Drosophila melanogaster: one gene and its partners. Changing the gene in region 1 together with any one later gene gives a genetic interaction. Each region holds a gene or a part of one and is shown in the gene's direction. Other genes may lie near its edges.

Region 1 (4,990 bases):
TATATCATTTTGTTTTCCGACCACGGAGTCTGTGTGAGTGTTCTTAATTGAAGTTTATGCGAGTAAAAGTGCAGTATTTGATTTCAATATTTACCAACAGCATCTGGATATAGCTAACCCATCTGCATTCGTGAAACCAAAGGATTCGGAGGAATACATTGTCGGCTTTGATCTAAAGAACAGTCTTCTCTTTCTGGCCTACGAAAACAACATCATCGATGTGGGTTTGCTAAACATAATATCATTAAACAATTATCAATTATTTCCAACGACAGGTATTCCGTTTAATATTCAGCTGTAACCAACTAAGGTACGAACAGATTTGCGAAGAAGAGATCGCCCAGAAGGCCAAGATCAGCTATTTGGTAGCCACGGATGATGGTACCATGTTGGCTATGGGTTTCGAAAATGGCACTTTAGAGGTATACATACGTCTTACAAATTCGTTTCATAATTATTTCCTGCTAATTATACATTTCCCAACAGCTCTTTGCCGTTGAAAACAGAAAAGTTCAACTGATCTACAGCATTGAAGAGGTCCACGAGCACTGCATCCGGCAATTGCTATTCTCGCCATGTAAGTTGCTCCTGATCAGCTGCGCGGAGCAGCTGTGCTTCTGGAATGTGACGCACATGCGCAACAATCAATTGGAGCGCGAGCAAAAACGGCGGCGCAGTCGACGCCATAAGCAGCACAGTGTTACACAAGAGGATGCTGTGGATGCGGCGCCCATTGCAGCGGACATCGATGTAGATGTGACATTCGTTGCCGACGAGTTTCATCCGGTGAACCGAGGGACTGCGGAACTGTGGCGGAATAAGCGCGGCAATGCCATCCGTCCGGAACTCCTGGCCTGCGTTAAATTTGTGGGAAATGAAGCTCGTCAGTTCTTCACAGACGCCCACTTCTCCCACTTTTATGCCATAGATGACGAGGGTGTCTACTACCATCTGCAGTTGCTGGAGTTAAGCAGACTTCAACCTCCACCTGACCCAGTTACGTTGGATATTGCCAATCAGTATGAAGACTTAAAAAATCTTCGAATTCTCGACAGCCCACTTATGCAGGATTCGGATAGCGAGGGTGCTGATGTAGTTGGCAACCTGGTTCTGGAGAAGAACGGCGGAGTGGCGAGGGCGACACCAATTCTGGAGGAGGCCAGTTCATGACGCCAGAAGTGCGTCCCTAGGCGGCGCACGAAACAGGAAAGTCCAAACTACAACATGGCATTTATAGGATTACTGCTCTACTACCTGATGGTTTTGCTCTTCTACCTCCTGGGTCCGGATTTGTCCTAGGCAAACATTAGTTGTTGGCGCTTACATTTGCGAATGTATGCAGCTAACCAAGTATGATATCTCAGAGGGCGGTGGGTGCGTTGCCCTGCCTTTGTTTGTCAACGCGAGTAACCGCCACCAAATAAACGACATTTCACGAAAAACACAGAACGCGGTTTTGTTGTCTGCTCTTTGTGCTGTCCGTATGTATGTATGCATGCATGTCTGTGTGGGTGGTTGTGCTGTGCGTTTGTTTTGATTTCTGCCAGGCACGCCAGATCAAGTGTTGCAAAAGCATTGGTCCCGGGACAGTGCTGCTAAGTTCGTGTATGGATATCAGTGTTGCGGTCCAATAAATAGGTACGTATCTGGATTGTGGCTCGTCTACTTCTAAGCTGACTTAAATTAATAAAAAGGCTTTGGCCTCAATGTTTGCATTTTGGTTTTATTAAAAAGTTCAAGTCAAGTTTGGGCTATAATTTTTATAAGCTAAGATTTACACACATTGCCTTAATGAACACACGTACGAAATATATTAAGAAGCATTTAAAACAATGAATAAAAACCAATAGCTAACTTGTATCATCGGCAAGGTACCTTGTTTGTACCAGTTTTAGGTACTGAATTCCGTACCGAACTAAAGCCCTTTTCAACACTGGCAGATATGCGCTCTTTCTCGTCATTTCATTCCAATTTTCAAGCTGAAAAGAAAAGAACGTCGTGTGCGTGTTGATGGCGCGATAAGTGAAAAAAATAAAAACATTTTTCGTGTCTTTATGGAATACAATACGAGTGCGTTTTAAGTAAGTGCGTGGCGAAAGTGGCGAAGCAGAGAAAGAATGATGCGCAACTCGCTACGCGTGAGCTCACTGCAGCAACAAAAGCAATAAATAAAAAAAGTGACTACATGCATTCCGCGCACCCACACACTGGCGTAAAATTCATACATATTTAAGTGCATTTGTGCACGCTCGTCAATGGCAAAATCGCGAGCTTGCAACTGCCAGGAAATATTGTACGCAAATTTGTCTAAAAATGATCTCTAACCCATCGCACGCAGACAGACGCAGCGCGCTTATAGGGGCATCGAATGTATGACGGCATATGTGTATTTATTTTCCACACTCGCCCATCGGTGGCAGTGAGTGTTAGTGAGCGACGCGCGTGTGTGAGTGCGTCGAGTGCTGAACTCTTGAACTGCAGTACATGGCTTTAATTCGATTTTAGGGATGTGCGGCTTGACGGAGCGGGAAGCGATCGAATTAATGAGTAAATGATAAACAACTGGACGCTTTCCGAGGCTTCGAATCCCTTGTTTTTCTCTAACAAGTGGCTTGCGGCAGCCATATTGTTTTGCCTTTGCGTTTGCGGCGATGATCGCACTCGCACCCCCACACACACTCAGTCAGTCAGTCAGTCCAGTTTGTGTGTATACATATTTATTCAATTAAATATTTGCGTTTAATTAAAAAGGAGTGAAACTGCAAGAATTGATTTATTTAGGTAAACAAACAGTGAGATCAGTGCAAATTCAAAGAAAGAGAGGGAGTCTTTGTTTTTCTTTTTGGGTTTTCGTCACGCTAATTGAACACAAGCGATTAATTGAACAATCAGCTGTTCTAATGGAAAATACGCAAATCTGGAAAGGATCGCTGGAATTTTCCTGCTTGTGTGTCCGCTCTGACCCATTAGTATAGCATTAGTATTTCAATTTTTCGGCCAAAAACTTGTTTTCCCCCAACCCCAAGTCGTCATCCATTAAATGTTTCGTGAAAACTAGTCAGCAAAAAGCACAACAATAAAACCAGCAACAACTGCTGCCTGCGAGTGACAGAGAAAGCAAGAGATTACGAGAGAGAGTGAGAGAGAACGAGCGCGGCGAGAGAGCCATAGGCATTGGAATATGTATGGCTTGCGCGTGAGTGTGTGGGTGTGCTGTTCAGTTATCTGTGTTGGAATAAAAACAATGAAATTGCAAGGAGATTGCTGCCTGCATTTGAACCCTCTCCGATCCGCCCCATCCCCCATAACCCTTCACCACCCACTCAAAAAAAAAAAAAAAAAATGCAAACAAATATTTTAATGTACATGCATTAATGCCCGAAATGTCTTCAAACGAATTTTGTGTGCCCACAGGTTTAAGTGAAAAGTAGCAGTGCAAAATATATATACACATATCAAAACCCATTGGAATAGTGCAACCAAAAAATCATAAAACAGAACTAAAGCAACGAAAATCGAGGCAATTAAATCACTTCTGGATTCATTTCGGCCCGTTTTTACTAGCTAATTTAAAAATAGCTGCCGAAAGCATTCCGCAACCACTTCTGGTGACTGGCCCCACACCAATGCGAACAATACTCCACGGGATCCTCCGACTTCGAGTGGCTTACGCATGCCTTTGAATTTGCATCTTCGCACCCGCACAGCAGCCAGCAAAAGCCATCGCAGGAAACCCTATGGATGACCCATCAATCAAAAAACGGTGAGTTCAACTGCTCCACTGTCTCCATGCGCTACAATTTCCCCACTTTCCACTTTCCCACTGGTTAAATTGCTCGCATTGCGATAAGAATTTATCTTTTGTCCTCGACAGACTTAATAATTGTTATTTTCGTTCTTATTCGCAAGCAACAGTCGATTATACACATACTAATAAATATACCAAATATACATCATAGAGGCAGGTTTAATGCAAATTTCAAAGGCAGTGTCAACTGGTTGTGGGAATTGAATAATTTTAATGAAATCTCGAAGAAGAAGAAGATATTAGTCACACAAAAAGTTAAAGCTCTTATTATATCAAATCGGAAGAATTTTTACTCATAAAAGAAGCTTTCACACATTCTTGACCTAAGTGCTTATATTAACATATTAGGGCTACCCTTAAGAACTAGCAACTTATGTAAGATCGTTGCCTAAATAGTGTAGCAGCCTTTAAGAATCCTCGAAATTATATTAAAATAATAGGTATTTTACTACATTTTAAATAGTTCTTAAGCCAGTTACAGATGATTTAACTGTGCATTAGATCACCGATCAACTTTTGTAAGCAATTACTAATTCATTTGACCCGTGATTAGTCAGCAAACGTTGTTTGAAAATAGCCAATTGACGAGGTGAAACTTTGCGCCGTCTCACAGTTCTGAAACGCACTGTGTTTGCTGATTGTTTATACCAATAGTTCCCCCAAGCTTGGGGTTGTTTTTGTGCGGTTTCGACTGCCAAACGGATGACTTAATACATATATACGCTCACCAACTTAGGGAGCGGCCAGTTTTCACATTTTACCATTTATTTCTTTTATTGCCACCTAGGGAAGTTTTAGCCCAAATAGATTGGCGAAACCAGTGACTTTCTAAGCATGCTTGTGTGTGCATTTGGTGGTGGTGTCTTAACCACGAATTGTATAATATACCTATGCAAAATGATTTAAATCTATTAACAGCTCACCACCACTGGTGTTGTCGTCTGATTTGTGGGCCTTAACAGGTTTTATGCCAGCCCGTCAACGGGCTGCAGCAAGATTTCCTCAAAATTAGGCAGCTAAATTTAGACAGAAAGAGAATTCACTTGGATCAAACGGAGAGACATGCTATTGACATGGGCCAATCAGTCAAAAAAGTTAATGTAAACATTTGATTTTTGGAGGTCTTGCCTGCCCGCCCGGCTGTTATGGAAATAACTCATCATAATGATGAATTCACCAGGC
Region 2 (5,169 bases), on another chromosome or scaffold:
TCACAACAACGCAGCATCTGCGCAAGAAGAAGGAAAAGTACGAAAACACATTTCGGTATTTTTTCTTATTTGTTTAACTTTTGTTTCTTCGATTTTTAGTTTTTGGGCGAATGACCGAAGACGAGCCCCGCACACTTGACCATCGCATCGATAAGTCCATACGAAGGGAAGACGGCGAAGAATGAGAGAATAGGGAAATGGGGATGATCCCAATTCGTACACTTGGCAAAATACCCTTAGTTTAGTTGTGGTCATTTTTAGTTCCCTAAGCTAACTCTGTAAATTTATTTTTTAAAGTAATGATCTATATCATCTACATAAAATTGCTTTTATTCATGAATTTTAGCCGGAATCACTGCATAAAAAATAAAGGGAATTCACCTTAATCAAATCGAAATTGAAACGCTGTAAACGACAAAGTGGCCTTAATTGGCCATTATGTTGGCCTAAACACCGGCACAGGCTCAAGTGGCGGCTAAAATTACCAAGAAGTGCGATTTGCGATTCAGTGCCCAATGATGATGACGGGGAACAAAACCATGACTGCTATCAACTTCAATTAGGTTTCGAGGAAATCCATCTCCGACTTTCCAGCTTTTCCGAGATATTTTTATTAAGCCGGCCACTCCAGTTAGCCTTACATATTTCCGAATGTTAGTAGTGTCTGTAGGGGTCTACCGAACTCGGACAAAATTGAAAATAAAAATTTTATTTAATAAGGTACATACATACATACATAGTACATATGTAAATAGAAACAAACAGCCAACGGAAAATTACCAGGAAGAGCCGTACTGCCTTTTTAAATTGAACAACTAGCAGCATTCAGAAAAAATTAAAAGCAGAGAACATCATTAATCATCCTTTGCAGGCGGCCAAAAGAGAGCATCTCCCTAATTGAGAACAAGAGAACATAACAGAAGAAAATGTTAATCATGTATGGGAAAAACAAAAAAGAAAAGAGAATTGTCGAGAAGAGTAAAAGGGTATACTAGATTCGTTAAAAAGAATGTAACAGGGAGAAGGAAGCGTTTTCAACCATATATGTATATGTATATGTACATGTACTTGTATATGTACATGTGTATATATGTATCGTGATCAGGATCAATCAGGACCAGTCGAACTGGTCATGTCCGTCTGTCTGTCCGTCCGTATGAACGTCGAGATATCAGAAAATATAAAAGCTAGATTCTAGAGACATTAGACGCAGCGAAAGTTTGTTCCCCATGATGCCACGCCCACAAACCTCCCAAAACTGCCACGCTCACACCTTTGCATAATGTTTTGATAGTTTTCCATATTTCTATGACTCTTGTTAATTTTTATCGATATGATAAAAATTCCCACTCTAATGCACCAAAACTGACACTCCCACACTTTTGAGAAATGATTTAATTTTTTTGTATTAAACCAGTTGTTTTTCCAATTTATAGATATGCCGAAGATATGCTATCTTAAACCGCCCAATATATCCTGCCCAGACCTTAGAGAATTAAAATTAATTTTTTCCCACCAATTTCTACTAATGTTCGTGAAAAATGTTGAAAAGTCTCGTCCCACTTGGACTTGCTGAATAACGGGTATCTGATAGTCGGGGAACTCGACTATAGCGTTCTCTCTTGTTTTAAATTAATGACATACATACTCAAAACAATGCACGATCAAAACAGCAAAATGATTTCTTTGTGCAGTTGCAACTTAAGAGCAATGAAAACTGAGCGCGGCTTCAGCGCGCTCTTTGAAAAGAGTTCCCTAATGCCGCGCATCGGCTCTTTTCTCTCGGCTAAGATCATTGTCGAACGCGCGTACATATACATATATACAGTACATGTATATTTATATCTGACCACTCTCTGTCTGTCGCAGCGACTGCGGCGCCGACGTCGACGCCTGCGACGACACGTTTCGAAGCCGCTTCTCATTCAAAAAACAACTGTGAACGTGATCGGTAACGGTGCGTGTTCTCTTGTCCGCCCGCTACAGTCTCTTCAAAAAAAAAAACTTAAAAGAAATGAGGGGGGAAGAAAGCGGATAAAAATCACCAACAATAGTAGCAAATGAAAAAAGTAAAGTAACACTATCATTTCGATTGAATTTGTAACATAAATTCGATATTTAAGAGACATGTGCAATCGGTCAAAACGTGGCGCATATAACTTAAAAGCAAATAGTAACATGGGAATATAAATTTGTAATATACATAAATATCTTCTGATTGTGTCCCTTAAAAACGTTTCTTCGTGTGCTTTTATTTTATCTAAATTTGACCCGATTTTAATTTGAATTTGAACAAGAACCTAAACTAAAACAAAACAAAAAAACATTCGAATGCTTATCTGTAAAAGGAAACAGGAAAGAGAGAACGAACGAAGTGAAAATAAAGTAGAATAAAATAAAATACATACTACGAGGCATGTATAAATATACTACGCTTTTGTGTTTATACTACATTGTGAAACAGTTGTCGTTGTACTTGTTGTTGTCTTTACAGCAACAGGCGTCCGATAATTTATAATCTTAAAAATATATGTGCGCCGTACATATAGATTCGCCTACTGAAAAACCCGAGATCAACTTTAAAATACTAGTACCAACCATAATTTGAAGCTTAGCTTTGAGTTATAAATATTTAGTTAACGTTATTTCACAATGATATATATTAAATATCTACAATATTTCACAATCTTAAGCTATTTTCGGTGCACATGTAGGCATTATTTTTGAATTGCACTCAATGTTGCATACAAAATAATTCTCTTTCGTTTTTCCCAAACAGGATGTTACCATTGATACCTTTTGAAGTCGATTTGTTGTAGTGTGTTTTTTTTTCGTGTGCGCAAAAGTCTTTGTGAATTATATGATAATACATGTGATACAGTTGGAGAAATAAAATAGATAAATCAACAAAATCGAATACAAAACCGTGTTGTCCTAATGAGCCTAACAACTGCAGCGAAAAATGAAAGGCAGCCAGCGACGGGAAAACTTTAAGCAACTGAAAAAAATTTAGTATCTTACAAGTTTGAACTGGCTCTTACCAGCAAGCCAATCAACACATACATATAAAATTCTTAATAAACCAAACAAAAAATTAAGCTCAACCGCCATCAAATCGAAATTCAAAACGAGCCAATTTGTGGTGTTTATTATTTATTTGTATGCTAATTTATTTTTACAACAACTTGATATTAACCCACAATCAAAGAAAAACAAAAGTGGGGAAAAGACAAAGAAGAAGCAACTAAAAGCAAAAGCAGCGCACCTTCTTCGGCATCTTTGTTTTGGGATATAAAACAGCAAAAGTAAGTGGATTGTATGTATTTTTATTTAACGTTTATGTGTGTTTTATAATGCCCATCGAATAACCCATTATTACTTTGCGCTGCGAAACTTGTTTCTTAATGCAAATTAAATTGAAAGGAAGCCAGCGAAATGTATACAGCCCAGAAAATTTGGATAACAGATTCGAAACCCACAGTATCTCGTTTCTGGTACTCCTTATTATCCTGCTTCATTATTTCCTGGGTATCAGGATGTCTCGTTTTCGTGGGCTTATCCTAGCGGTTTTTCCGGTCTCACGCCCGATGCTGACCTTCTGACTCTGCGGATGTGGGAAATCTAGCCATTCTGCAGATACAGAGCTGGCTCTTGAGATCTTAAATGACCAAATCGGGAGGTATTTAGTCTAATGCTTTTCGAAGTAGCTATTACGCGTCCAAATGGATTCAGCATGAATATGTTTGGGCTCATGCCATTGACTGACGAGTAGGTATAGTTTCCCTAAAAGCGAACTGATAAATATTAAAAGCATTTTTAATCACTTCTTGAACAACAATAGACACGTGCACATTTCTCAATCTGGTCAAGCGCCTTACTAGTTATTGCAAAAACCAATTTCACGACGTGACCACAATGGATGACAACTGACCTTAGTGTCATCATGCAACCAAAACAATCGAACTACACCAATTCGAGGCGCATTAGGTGTCTTATCGGGGTTCGCTCTCAAACATTTGCCAAACAAGTGAGTTCACGATTATGTTTACAGAGGTGAGTTCCATGAGTTCGCTGGTAATGGACATGATGATGATAATGCCGATGAAGTCACGCGGTGACTATCAGCGCCAATGTGGCAAAGTGATCACTTCCGCTGGACGCAAAATATATTGCGGCTTAAAATGGAAAACTAAAAGCAAACCATGAACGAATTTCGGTACCAAAATTTTATTCCCGCATGAAAGTGTAACCAAGTTAATTGCATTTAACCGACTGTCCAAAAAATAAAGAGCTGGAAGGGTGGCCAAGCACTCAAGTGACTGGGAAATTGTTGACATGCACACTGAGAAAAATGGCCATATTTATGTGTGTATTTAGTAAATTTTTCCGTGGACTCGTTCTTTTATTTGTTTTTGCGCAGACATGAATTACAAAATGTTTTTTGTGCAAGTTCCAAAACGCCCGCAAAATGCTCCAAAAGTCATTATCAGCAATAGAAAGTGTTACAGACGGCACGAAAATTAAATTACGGGTATTGTGATGGTACGTATACATACATATGTATGAATACTATATAGATAGAGTTCGCTTCGATTGCCTCGACTATCAGATAGCCGTCACTCAGCCATAACTCCTAAAATAATTATCCGATTCAAATTATCTATACAGCTATTGTCTTCCGGACATACATATATTTATGCCTATGTTGATACCCCCCCGGGAACGTGGAATGAAATCAGCAACCGAAAAAAAAAACGAATCTATCACGAAATTATTTTCGAGGCTCTTGAGTCCCTTGTGCCCATGGCTATGCAGCCGTGGTAAAATTGATTCAGCTGCATCGGGGCAAACAGCATTAAACGGTCGATCCATAGGGCAGTACGTGCCTGAGGGCCCAAAAGCCGAAAACCAAAAACCGATGGCAATATACGACCTCCACTTACACGAAAAACTTGGGGATTATTTGTTCTGGAATTTCTGGAATCTATCCTATTCCCATTCTGTACAATGCTTTCAAGGGGATTCCAAGAAATCGGCTAATGCTGATGTAAGAAGTTCCGAAAAAGTTCGTACCTGGAAGTACTAAATACAATACATATGTACATTTGGCGTAAAAGAGTGCTTGTAAAAAGTTGAGTCATACGGACTAGAAATGTATGGATGTATGGA
Region 3 (5,011 bases), on another chromosome or scaffold:
TCCACAGCGAAGCTGCGTGGAATGGTGGAATAGTGAAAAACTTCAGCGGAAAATTAACATTAATGCGACACACCCAAACGGACACACGCACACAGGGAAAGCCCGAAAGCCGGGAATCCAAATAGCTATTTCGTTACGTTACGTTTCTCTCGTTTTTGTGCCACTGTGCAGCGGCGTATGTTTTGGAATTTACACACACACGCACACGCAGGACAAGCGCACACACACGGACGAACGCACACATATACGCGCAGGCTGCGCAACAACAAAATGCTAGTCTAAGGCGGCGAGGAATCAGCGAAAAAGTGAAAGAGAAGGCGCTAGCTGGCGTTCTCCCTGCGTTTTTCGCACGCTTTGACGCGTTATTTGCACGAGTATTTACTGTAGTTACAGGGGCCACACAGAACAACGAAAATCGCAGCGAGCAGCACGTCTAAATTACGAACACGTACACGCACGCACACACACACACTCGCACGCACTCATGCAGTTAAAAAACAGGCGGTTTTTTCGCTTCCACACTCAAAAGCGGTCGAAAATCACGAGCGTTGGGTGAAAATCAACCGTTGTTTTCATCCGCGTTTACAATTTTTTCTCGTCGTCCGCCCGCGCGCAACAACAACTCTTTGCAGTATGACGCTCTGGAAAAACCAAGAAAAAGGTGACACTCCTCTTCCATCAACGAAGTATCTTCGCATACGTTCACACTTTGGAGAAATTTTGTGAATCGCCGTCTGGTCACACTACTAGCAACTGCGCAACTCACCTTTAGTAAAGACAACAACCATTCGTTTTATTTGCCATCTCTATTTCCGATTTTTAATCGGCGCCTTCCTATTTGAGATGAAGTTTAAGTTAATATTTTAAATTAAGATTAAAAGATAATGAATATTTTCATTAATTACGTTAAAAAAGGAAAATAACTTGAATACTGTAAAGTACTTGGTGTTCGGTAAGTAATTATAATATAATATAACACAAGATAATAATATAATATGTAATATTTTTCTAGTGCAAAATAAAAGTTACGTTTGTCTGTAATAAATTTAAATCTTAGTACTAGATTCAACAAACTGCATTTTTTTTGTGTCTCTTTTTTGCTTTACTCGCATTCCGTTTTGTTTGTTTTTCGCTGCTCGAAAAGCTTACGCTGCCGACTGCGACGTCGACATTGAAATTTTGGCGTCGCAAACAAAAACAAAAGTTGCCGGCTCTCTTCAAAGCTCAAATTGAGCAAGATAAAAGAGTGTACAAATTCTCTTAAGTTGCTGCTCTCTTACAACCGCTTAATGTTAAGCAATGTTAACCGATTTAAACCCAAAGGTTTTGTTCTTTGTATCTTGATGTTAAAAAGAGCTGAAATTGTTTAACATTTTTTTTTGTCATAGGAATGTGTATTTGATATTCCTTCATGTCTATTTGGTGTTTAAGAAGATATTGAGCATTATTTTTAGTGCTAAGTTTAAGTGAAGCCTAAATGATTAAAGCTGTGGAGTTCGATTTTTGCAATGCAAGACAACATCGTAAAGAAGAAGTAGAAGCTGGTAGTTTTTATCTTTTACGTTTTAAAACAGATGCGAATTTTCCATCTGATCGCAATCGTATTACATTCAAATCGGCGCCTTTCCCGAATCGGTTAACATAGCGCCGAGGAGAAAGAGAAATTGGGGGAGTATCACTATCGCTTTCTCGTTCTTTCGCCGAACGGGCTGCTTGTCGCCGCCGTTCCATTCATAAGCATAAGTTAAGCAGTGCGCCAAAGCTCGGCGAACAGTTTGGACGTGTTTGCTGCGTCGCTCTGTGTAATTGCGGGCGGATTTCTCTAGTAAATTTTTGCCGGCGCTTGTAAATTCGCGATATTTTCGACGACGCTGCGTGCTTGTGTGTGTTTCAAACAACAAACAAAAGTTAAACAAGCTGGGCAACAACAGTAATTGCAGCTATGTGTGCGTCTGTGTTTGCGTGTGTTTGAGTGCGTGAGTGCGAGCGAAACACAAACGTAAAGCGGAAATGCAAAAAAGACAACAAAGGTAGCAGAAAAGTAAAAAGTAAAAAGTAAAAGAGAGGAGCCGGTGCAGCCAGAAAGAGCAAGACAGCACGAGTGGGGGCTAATGAAAACGAAATGTGATTCATTGGCTTTATCAATTGTGCAAAATTCCGGCATTGTTTAGTCCTGGGCGACAAATAAATTATGACATAATACAACAAAGGGCGAAATAACAAGAAACTGGAGACGCAGCAAAGCACAAAAAAGCGTAAAGTGCGTGTATGTGTGCGAGTGGGAGTGCGTGTACGTTTGTGTGTGTGCGTGTGGGTGGCATCAGTATTTGAAAATTGAGAAATTCCAAACAAACAAAGCGGCAAAAAGGATATACGAATGTATGTAGCAAAGGAAAAACTCCAAGTACAGTAGTTGCTGCTGCTTCTTGTTCACGCAAAAGGCAAAAACGCAAAAAAGCAAAAAAACCCAAAGGCAAAATACCCGAAAAAGCAAAGGCAAAGCAGCAAGAGCGTAGCAAAAACAAAAAACAAGGAGCAAAACGGCGGCATCTCAAAAGCTTAGTAAGCTGCGCTGCTGCTGCCGCCGCTGCTGTTGCTTCTTCTTCACTGTTTTCTTCTCCTTATTTTTTATTTTTGCAAACAAAAAAGTATATGATGCCCAAACAAGAAGCGCAAGAAGAAGCAGCAGTCGGGAGAGGAACGAGCATAATAGAAGGTAGAAATTTCGAGGAAATCGAAATTTGCGTCGTTGCTGAAATTCGTTTGTTTCCTCATCTTCCTCCCCTTCGTCCTCTTCATCCGCTCTTTCGCTCTCTGTTTTCCTGAGCGCCGGATTTTGCGGCTCTTTGTGTGTGTGTGTCGTGTATCTGTGTGTTTTTGTGCAAAAATTCGCGTACAATTTGTTTTATATAACAACAACTACCCCAATGTGATTTCCTTTGCTCAGCCGGCTTTTTGCTCATCTTCCAGTTTTGGGTTTTATCTTAAACCAAAACCGAATATTATACAATATATTTCGAAAAAGATGTAAACGAGACAAAGTTTTATATCGCAGGGCTGTAAACAAATGAACGCCACAATGCACAGAAGAAATAAGCTAGTATTTCCAATATTTTTTCAACCAGAAGCATTTTTTATTTTATTCGTTTAATTTGCTTGCTTGGTTAATAAAACAAACGAATTTTTAATAAAATTCAATTAGAAATCTAAATGCTATTACAAATTTAAACGCAATCCAATTACTTTCTGTGTATTCAAAACAAAAAACCGTAGCTCAAATTCGCACAAGCGTTTTTTTTCATTTTTCTTTTGATTTATCGAATTGTTTTTTTTCAATTGTCGTACGGATAAAAGTTTGTCTGCGATGTGCGTTACTTTTTGCAAAGCCTTTCATAGTTCGAACAGCAAAGGCATCAACAATATAATAGTAAGCCAGAAATATATTTTAGCATTCATATATGCGATTTTTTGCTTTTTGCGAGCTTTGGTTTGCCGCGCAATTTTGCGCTCTTGAGATAGAAATGTATCTTGCAGATACACGCGCCTTTTGTCGAATTGAAATTGAAATGGGCTCCGCCGCCTTTTATGTGGCATCATCACCGCCATCATCATCATTATTATTATTATTATGACTACTATCATTATTATGGAGATGCGTGCGTAATGGCAGATGAAGAATCTGAGCCGTAGAATCTGCGAATTTATCGCAGCTTAAATCCGAGCACACACAAAAAGCCAGTACAAATTTAGGGCCGATAAAAGGATGTCAGAGGAAGTAAAAAGAAAGGATAGAGGGGAAAAACGCAGGATGAAGGATACCTTTGTTAATGCTGATATTATTATGCTAACTGATAGCAGCAGAAATATCTATGTTAAAAAAGGTAATTTTCAATGCAATTCTATACTCATTGCTAAGAACTTATAGTTCTTGGTGTAATAACAGAATATAATATCTAACTGGCGAACAAAAAAAGTTTAGAACGGAAATAATTGCAGTTCGTAAAACAATAGAAACCAAGGGGAAAAAACTTCGGTTGGCTTTTGGAAAAACTTTCTCAAAACTTTATGCTTTAAAAGTGTAATCAAGTAAATCAGTAATATTAATAATAACTTGAAACTTTTAGTTTCTCATACAGAGCTTCTTTTAATTTGATAAAAAAGCGACGCGAACAAAAGATGAACAAGAAATGAAAATTTGTTAATTTTGAATATGGCTTTTTCCAATCTTGGTATGTATTTTCACTGTCCCTTGGGATTGTTTTCCACCCCAAGCCACGGGTTAATGCCCCACCACCTCATCAATTTTCCGATTTGAGCGGTGACAAACTGATGACATTGGCGCCGGGCCATCGTGTTGGCGGCATGTTTGTGCGGACTATTTAACAAATTGAGTATACGCACTGTTGCACGCGTAAAATATTTATGCCTGTGCCCAAATGTATTAGCATACTTTTGTGTGCGTGGGCGTGTGTGTGTGTTTGTGTGCATGGGTGTGTGCATTAGATTAGTGAATAAAATTCGGTGATTTGATTTCTCCCCCGATTTTCATTTATTTCCGAAGCCAAACATCGCGGTGAACAGAGAAATGAGAAAATGCTCTTGCTAATCGTATTGACTGGAAGAGCGTGAAGAGCTCGCTAACGTTCCAATAATCGCAAAAAGATAAAAAAAAATCTATATAGTTATAATTACAATCGCGGTTGGGCCTAAAAAAGGAGCCCCAGCCGGAAAGCGGTGACAACAAAAAAGTCGGATTGCAATGTGTTTGTTTTACAATCGTCGCCTCTTTGTGATTCAATTGATTGAGATCCTACTGCTGCTGCTAACCGACCACAATGGACGACTGACACTAACCAAGGAGTCGACAACAGGTGAGTGCGGTTACCTTTGCCATATTTCACACTCTAAATTCGCAGTTGTGATGCCAACTCGGCAGTTATTCCGACCAAATTTGAGTGTTTTCAGTAGATTTATAATAATATAATCCCAGTTGTTACAAGTCAATTTTTAA
Region 4 (5,138 bases), on another chromosome or scaffold:
AATGGAATAGAAAACAAGACACAATATATATTGAAGCAAGGCAGCTCCACCATTTCACCAAAAAGGGAATGATTTAAATCTAAAGATTAACCTTACCAAGTCCGCATGACTAAATTTCAATGAACTATGCTGTCGCACATGAGCAGTGTGTATAGATATAAAATGTTTATTTCTGCAAGGCAAGCAACCACTTAGCACATGGATTGTTAATGAAACTATGCACCTTCTAAGGGCAGAATACCAAACTGATACTGATAGTTTAGCAATAGAAGGAAAGCCATTAACAATGTGAAGGCTCGGTAAAAGTATAAATTGGCTAGTTAATTACGCCAAATGTAGCTGTTGTCCACATTGTTCTTCGCACATGCATATTACTAATATGAGCAGCATCCTGATAAATCTACCACTTTTTTACATTGCCAAGAGGAGCTATTCTATTCCCCTGTTTACAGACCGCATAAAAAATGTTTCTAGCATTCGAAGAACGCATGTTTCGTAGACTTTTACAAATTGTGGTTGGTTTTATTTTCTCATCTCTCTCGTGCAAACAAAAAGCGCTTACAATAGAAGTCTAAAAATGCGTTTTTTAGAATTCGAAGGGGCGCCGTGTGATTACTTGGAAATAACAATGGGCCCGGTCTGCTTGGCGGCATCGCGCTGCTTGAACACGATCTGGTTAGCAATACGGTCCAGATCACGCTGTCCAATGGAGCTCAGTTTGCGACCACCGTCCGGGTGCTTCTCGACCAAACGGGCGTGCTCCAAGGCCTGCAGAGCCTTGCGGGCAGCACCGTCGGCGGCGCGGCAGAAGTGCGAGGGGTGGACACCGTTGCGCTTGCGTCCGCCGTAGATCTTGGTGATCGAACCGACTCCAGCGGGACTGCGGTGGTACAGATGGCGCAGGATCGAGGCGCAACGCACATAGAACCAGTCGGGATCGTAGGGCGCCAGCTCCTTGAATTTGGCGGTCTTGACGATGTCCATCTGGTCGGGCACCTTCAACTTGCCAGTCCTATTTGGTTTTTTTCGTGTTTTTTTTTTTTTTTTTGGGGGGGGATAAACAAATGGATTGTGAGGTTATGTGGTGGAAATATACTTGATGTTCAGTACTCACTTCTTCAAGAAGACGGCGACCGCCTTGGTAACCGCGTGCTGGTCAATATCCTTCACTGTGACGCCTGGCATCTGCGGGCAGAACGGGAAAAACAAATGGGGAATCTATTACAATGCTGCCAAAAACACGTTGTCGCGATTTCCACGATTCTCTCACAGACACACTCTTTCTCTCTCTCTCTCTCCCTCGCACACACACATGCACGGGCACAACAAAAAATTGCCAGCCGAAGTTTTAACCCGAAAAAAGCTGTCCTTTCGTGTTTACGGCCGGCCCATTGTGTCATTTGCCACTTGGCGTGGGCTCTTTCATTGAATTTCACCCATTCAAAACATAAAAAAAAAGATAATTCACTTGAAAAGAATTCGTGCACAACCTTTCTCGTTAAAGTCAACCGGAAAAAAGAACAAGGCGCGTGAAGTTGGCTGCGGTTAATAGTGCTGGGCCTGCCACCAGCAATAGTATCGATTAATCGAATGCCGGCGCGGCGAACTATCGAAGATTCGGTTAATGATACTCTAACACGTATGTGTTCAATTTATAGTTATTTTTAAAAATATTTAAATTAATGAGCACACCAAGATTATATTATATATTACTTGGCATTTGAAGACCTTGTCTAAACATGCATTTTCGTATTAGTATATTTTCAATGTGGGCAAAGAATGCGTAGTACAATTCATATTTTGCTGTATCACTTTATTCATAAATAACTGCTTTTTATTTTGTTAGCAACCGATTTACATAACTATTCATGAAGCTAGTTTCTGAGTCTATCGAATAACAAGCGGCCCATCGATGACGCAGACAACCGATATTGCCGCAGCACCATCGCCATTTGGAGCGCCACCTGTTGGCCCTGGTATATTCTGGTATTTTCATCGGCGCCTAGTGACTTCGATACTTCAACTTCGATATGTAAACACAATTGCCATCTCTACCAGCACCGAGCCGAAATAAAATAAGTGCAACGCGCAGCGTCTAATTGAAACCAAATTGATCTATTTGGCCGCGGCCGAAACTGGACATTCGCAATTTGGGCGGTCAGCCGCCCCCGTCCCGTCCCGCCCCCCCGTGCGTTTCCCCCGCTGCCGACGGACAGTACGTCGGTGTGACGCACATCGGTGTGTGCGCGCGTGTGTGTGTGTCTGTGAAGCGCCTTGTTATTGTTGTTGTAGCGCTTGCTACGTTCGCCGTTCGCAGTGCACTGGTGTGCGTGCGCTCGTGTAAGTGTGTGTGCACAGAGGTATCGTTGGAATTAACAAAAAAATAGAAGAAGGAAAAAGCTACTTGATTGGGGCACACAAAAACCAACAACTCAAAAGGCCGAGAAACAAAAGCCCACCTTCAACACCACCAATCCGCCGCATTCGACACATTTTGGCCAGGTTTTTGGCCACAAGTGTTGACACAACTGTTGCATGCCAAGCGGACTGCGGACAATAATCCCCGTTCCCTTGTTTACCCAACAATCCATCGTGGTCAACGTGATCATCCTGGTCATTACGATCCCATTTGCACAGGAAGTAAACTAGATTGATAGCATTTTCCGGGAATCGATAGCACACCTGCCTGCCGTGTGGGAAACGCACCTGGGAACGCCCGGGTGCTCGGCTGCGTCCGCATGTGGCGTTGGCGGCACTCCACCAAAAGAAGCCAGCGCCAAGTGCCCAATCCCCATACCCATACCCATTCCCATTCCCATCCCCATCCGTATTCGATTGGCGTTCAGTGGCAGCAGTTAGCCAGAAATCCAACGAAACACTCGTGACCTCATCGCCAGCAAACAGCAAACAACTAGCGCTTGACGCGTGCCTCCTCTCCTCATTACTATTAGCATTCCCAGCATAGACAGACGTCCAACAACTCCTGGCAGGTAAATGTACAATATAAATATGTGTACCCCGAAGAGAACTCTGTTAAACCCTTGCTTCGCTTTCAGTTGCAGCACAGGAGCAGCAGTTGACCAACAGGAAGCAGCAGCTGGAGCAGCAGTATCAGCTTGTTATCTTGCATTTGCATGCCAGCTGGACGAGAAACTGTGACCAAGCAGCGCAGCATGGATGTGGAACGAAGGCGCCGGTGAGTGCACGAGATGGCGGCCCAAAAGCGACTGCTCCACTCAATTAATTGTCACCTGAATGGCAGCATCAGCAGCAGCAGCAGCAGCAATAGCAATAGTAGAAGTCGAAGTAGAAGTAGAAGTGGCAGTAGCCATCGCACAGATACGTGCGATTTGTACAGACAGATTTGTGATTTGTTCAACTGACCAAGCCAAGCAGGCAGCTAAGCAGCTAACCAGCTAACCACCTAACCAGCCAACTAGCCAGCTAGCACAATTCAGCGCAAGCCAAACGGGCCTGGCCAAAACAAATCAAAAAGTAATACACCGCTGGCAAACACCTTCCATATCTCATGTTCAAAGCGACAGCGCGGCAATCAAATTGACAAGCGAGTGAACAAAACGGGGGGCGACTTTATAATAAATTTGCCATTTTCGCATTAAAATTTGTAACCAAACCAAAAAGAAAAAAAACCAAAACGAAAACGAAAAGCGAACTAAAACGAACGCACAGTGGCTGATGCCGCCGTTTGTCAGTTGCAGGCGTCGCGTTGCATCGGCTGCATCGTTTGCATCGTTTTGGGCCAAAAAGGTAGAATAGATAGCCAGCACCACGCCGGTTTCTTCCATTGGACAGTAGACGGTATAGGGCATGGGGACATGGCTAATGCCCGCCGCCCTCCATTCGTGCGAGCCGGAACGGTACGTTGTTCTCATCTCCACGCTCCTAGCATTCAGCATTCAGCATCCAGCTCTCAGCTACCAGTTGTCGTCCTGGTTCGCTTGCATTCCAAATTCCGAGAATACAATTTGCCCAGCAATTCCGCAGCGTCGAGTATGCATATAAATACTTAAATTTAATTACCCATCCCCACTCGGTATCTGCTGTAAGCAGTCATAAGCGAAGCAAACGTTAAGGCATTTGCGTACTAACAATGGCCAATTGCAATGCGCATTTGGTTATAAAAGCCGAACAGTTCCTTTGTGCTGCCTGGGCAAATAATTAATTAGAATTAATAAGGTGTGAAGAGATTCTGCAACGCAGATGCAGTACCACTCTCTATCTCTGTGTGTTGAATGTGAAGCGTTCAATTTGTAAAAACTGGCAGATCGAATTTGGCGACGTTGTATAAATTAAGTTGAAAATTATATTGTCTATAGGTGACGATAATGTTGTCGTCGTCGTCGTCATCGTCGTCGTTGGTTATTATGTATTATTATTGCCGTTGTTGTTGTCAATAATGTTGCTCATAATTATGTTGTTGTTGCCATTTTGCCGCTTTGGCCAAATCGAAATCAACAGCGGCAACGAAAATTCATCGCAGCATTTTTGAAAATTCCACTTTCCCAAGTTGTTTGCTTTTGTGTATGGTGTGTGTGTGTGCTGCTATTACCCGCTGCTTGAGCGTTTTGTTTTTGGCTTTTCTGTCATGCCGTAAGTGGCGATGATGAAATCACAACAATTCAAACACCTTTTAGTATCAATTTTTAGCGCCGACTGTCATCGCAGTTTGCCTGCTCCTGCATCTGAGTCTGACTTTTGCTTGCTGGGCACCGAAATTCGATTCCCAATCGCTGACAGACTGACTCCGCATCTCCGACATCTTGCATCTTGCTAATTGCACATAAATCTTGGTTACGGGAATTAGTTTTTGACCGGAAAATGCCTTTAAATTTAGAAATTCAGAACCAACGCACTGGCAGGCCAAATTTAATTGTTTCATTCTTTGCCGAATATGTAGTTTAATTTGCCGAGAAATTCCATTTGAAAGAGCGCTTTTCCCATGCTCTAGTAACCTCGTATGCAAATACCTAATTGTTATAATTAATTTTCTATATATTTACATTCGCAAGATTTTATTTTCCATGATTTATGTACATACATACACTCTCCGAAGAATGAACCTTACCTTTTTGTTTACATTCAAAAGTAAATAAGCAATTTGTATATTCTTAATATCA

The links.
Region 2: of RhoGEF2 (region 1) and fog, changing one suppresses a phenotype caused by changing the other (phenotypic suppression), as found in Drosophila melanogaster (one study listed by BioGRID).
Region 3: of RhoGEF2 (region 1) and plum, changing one suppresses a phenotype caused by changing the other (phenotypic suppression), as found in Drosophila melanogaster (one study listed by BioGRID).
Region 4: of RhoGEF2 (region 1) and Rok, changing one suppresses a phenotype caused by changing the other (phenotypic suppression), as found in Drosophila melanogaster (one study listed by BioGRID).

Annotation. Positions count from the first base shown.
Region 1 is NT_033778.4:17,025,259-17,030,248, forward strand, and holds the start of RhoGEF2 (Rho guanine nucleotide exchange factor 2), read left to right. Parts: upstream 1-1,931; 5' UTR 1,932-2,081; intron 2,082-3,414; 5' UTR 3,415-3,737; coding exon 3,738-3,763; intron 3,764-4,990. Other genes in the region: Dark (Death-associated APAF1-related killer), read left to right, coding at 1-33, 101-220, 276-422, 487-1,170.
Region 2 is NC_004354.4:22,851,943-22,857,111, reverse strand, and holds the start of fog (folded gastrulation), read left to right. Parts: upstream 1-1,917; 5' UTR 1,918-2,069; exon of another isoform or gene 2,070-3,305; intron 3,306-5,169. UniProt on the Drosophila melanogaster protein: Coordinates cell shape changes during formation of the ventral furrow and invagination of the posterior midgut primordium, by inducing apical constriction of cells in spatially and temporally defined manners.
Region 3 is NT_033777.3:26,531,973-26,536,983, reverse strand, and holds the start of plum (plum), read left to right. Parts: upstream 1-1,766; 5' UTR 1,767-2,260; intron 2,261-4,561; 5' UTR 4,562-4,759; coding exon 4,760-4,871; intron 4,872-5,011.
Region 4 is NC_004354.4:16,634,280-16,639,417, reverse strand, and holds the start of Rok (Rho kinase), read left to right. Parts: upstream 1-2,003; 5' UTR 2,004-2,990; intron 2,991-3,056; 5' UTR 3,057-3,134; coding exon 3,135-3,196; intron 3,197-3,750; exon of another isoform or gene 3,751-3,843; coding exon of another isoform or gene 3,844-3,878; intron 3,879-5,138. Other genes in the region: RpS19a (ribosomal protein S19a), read right to left, coding at 613-1,012, 1,115-1,185.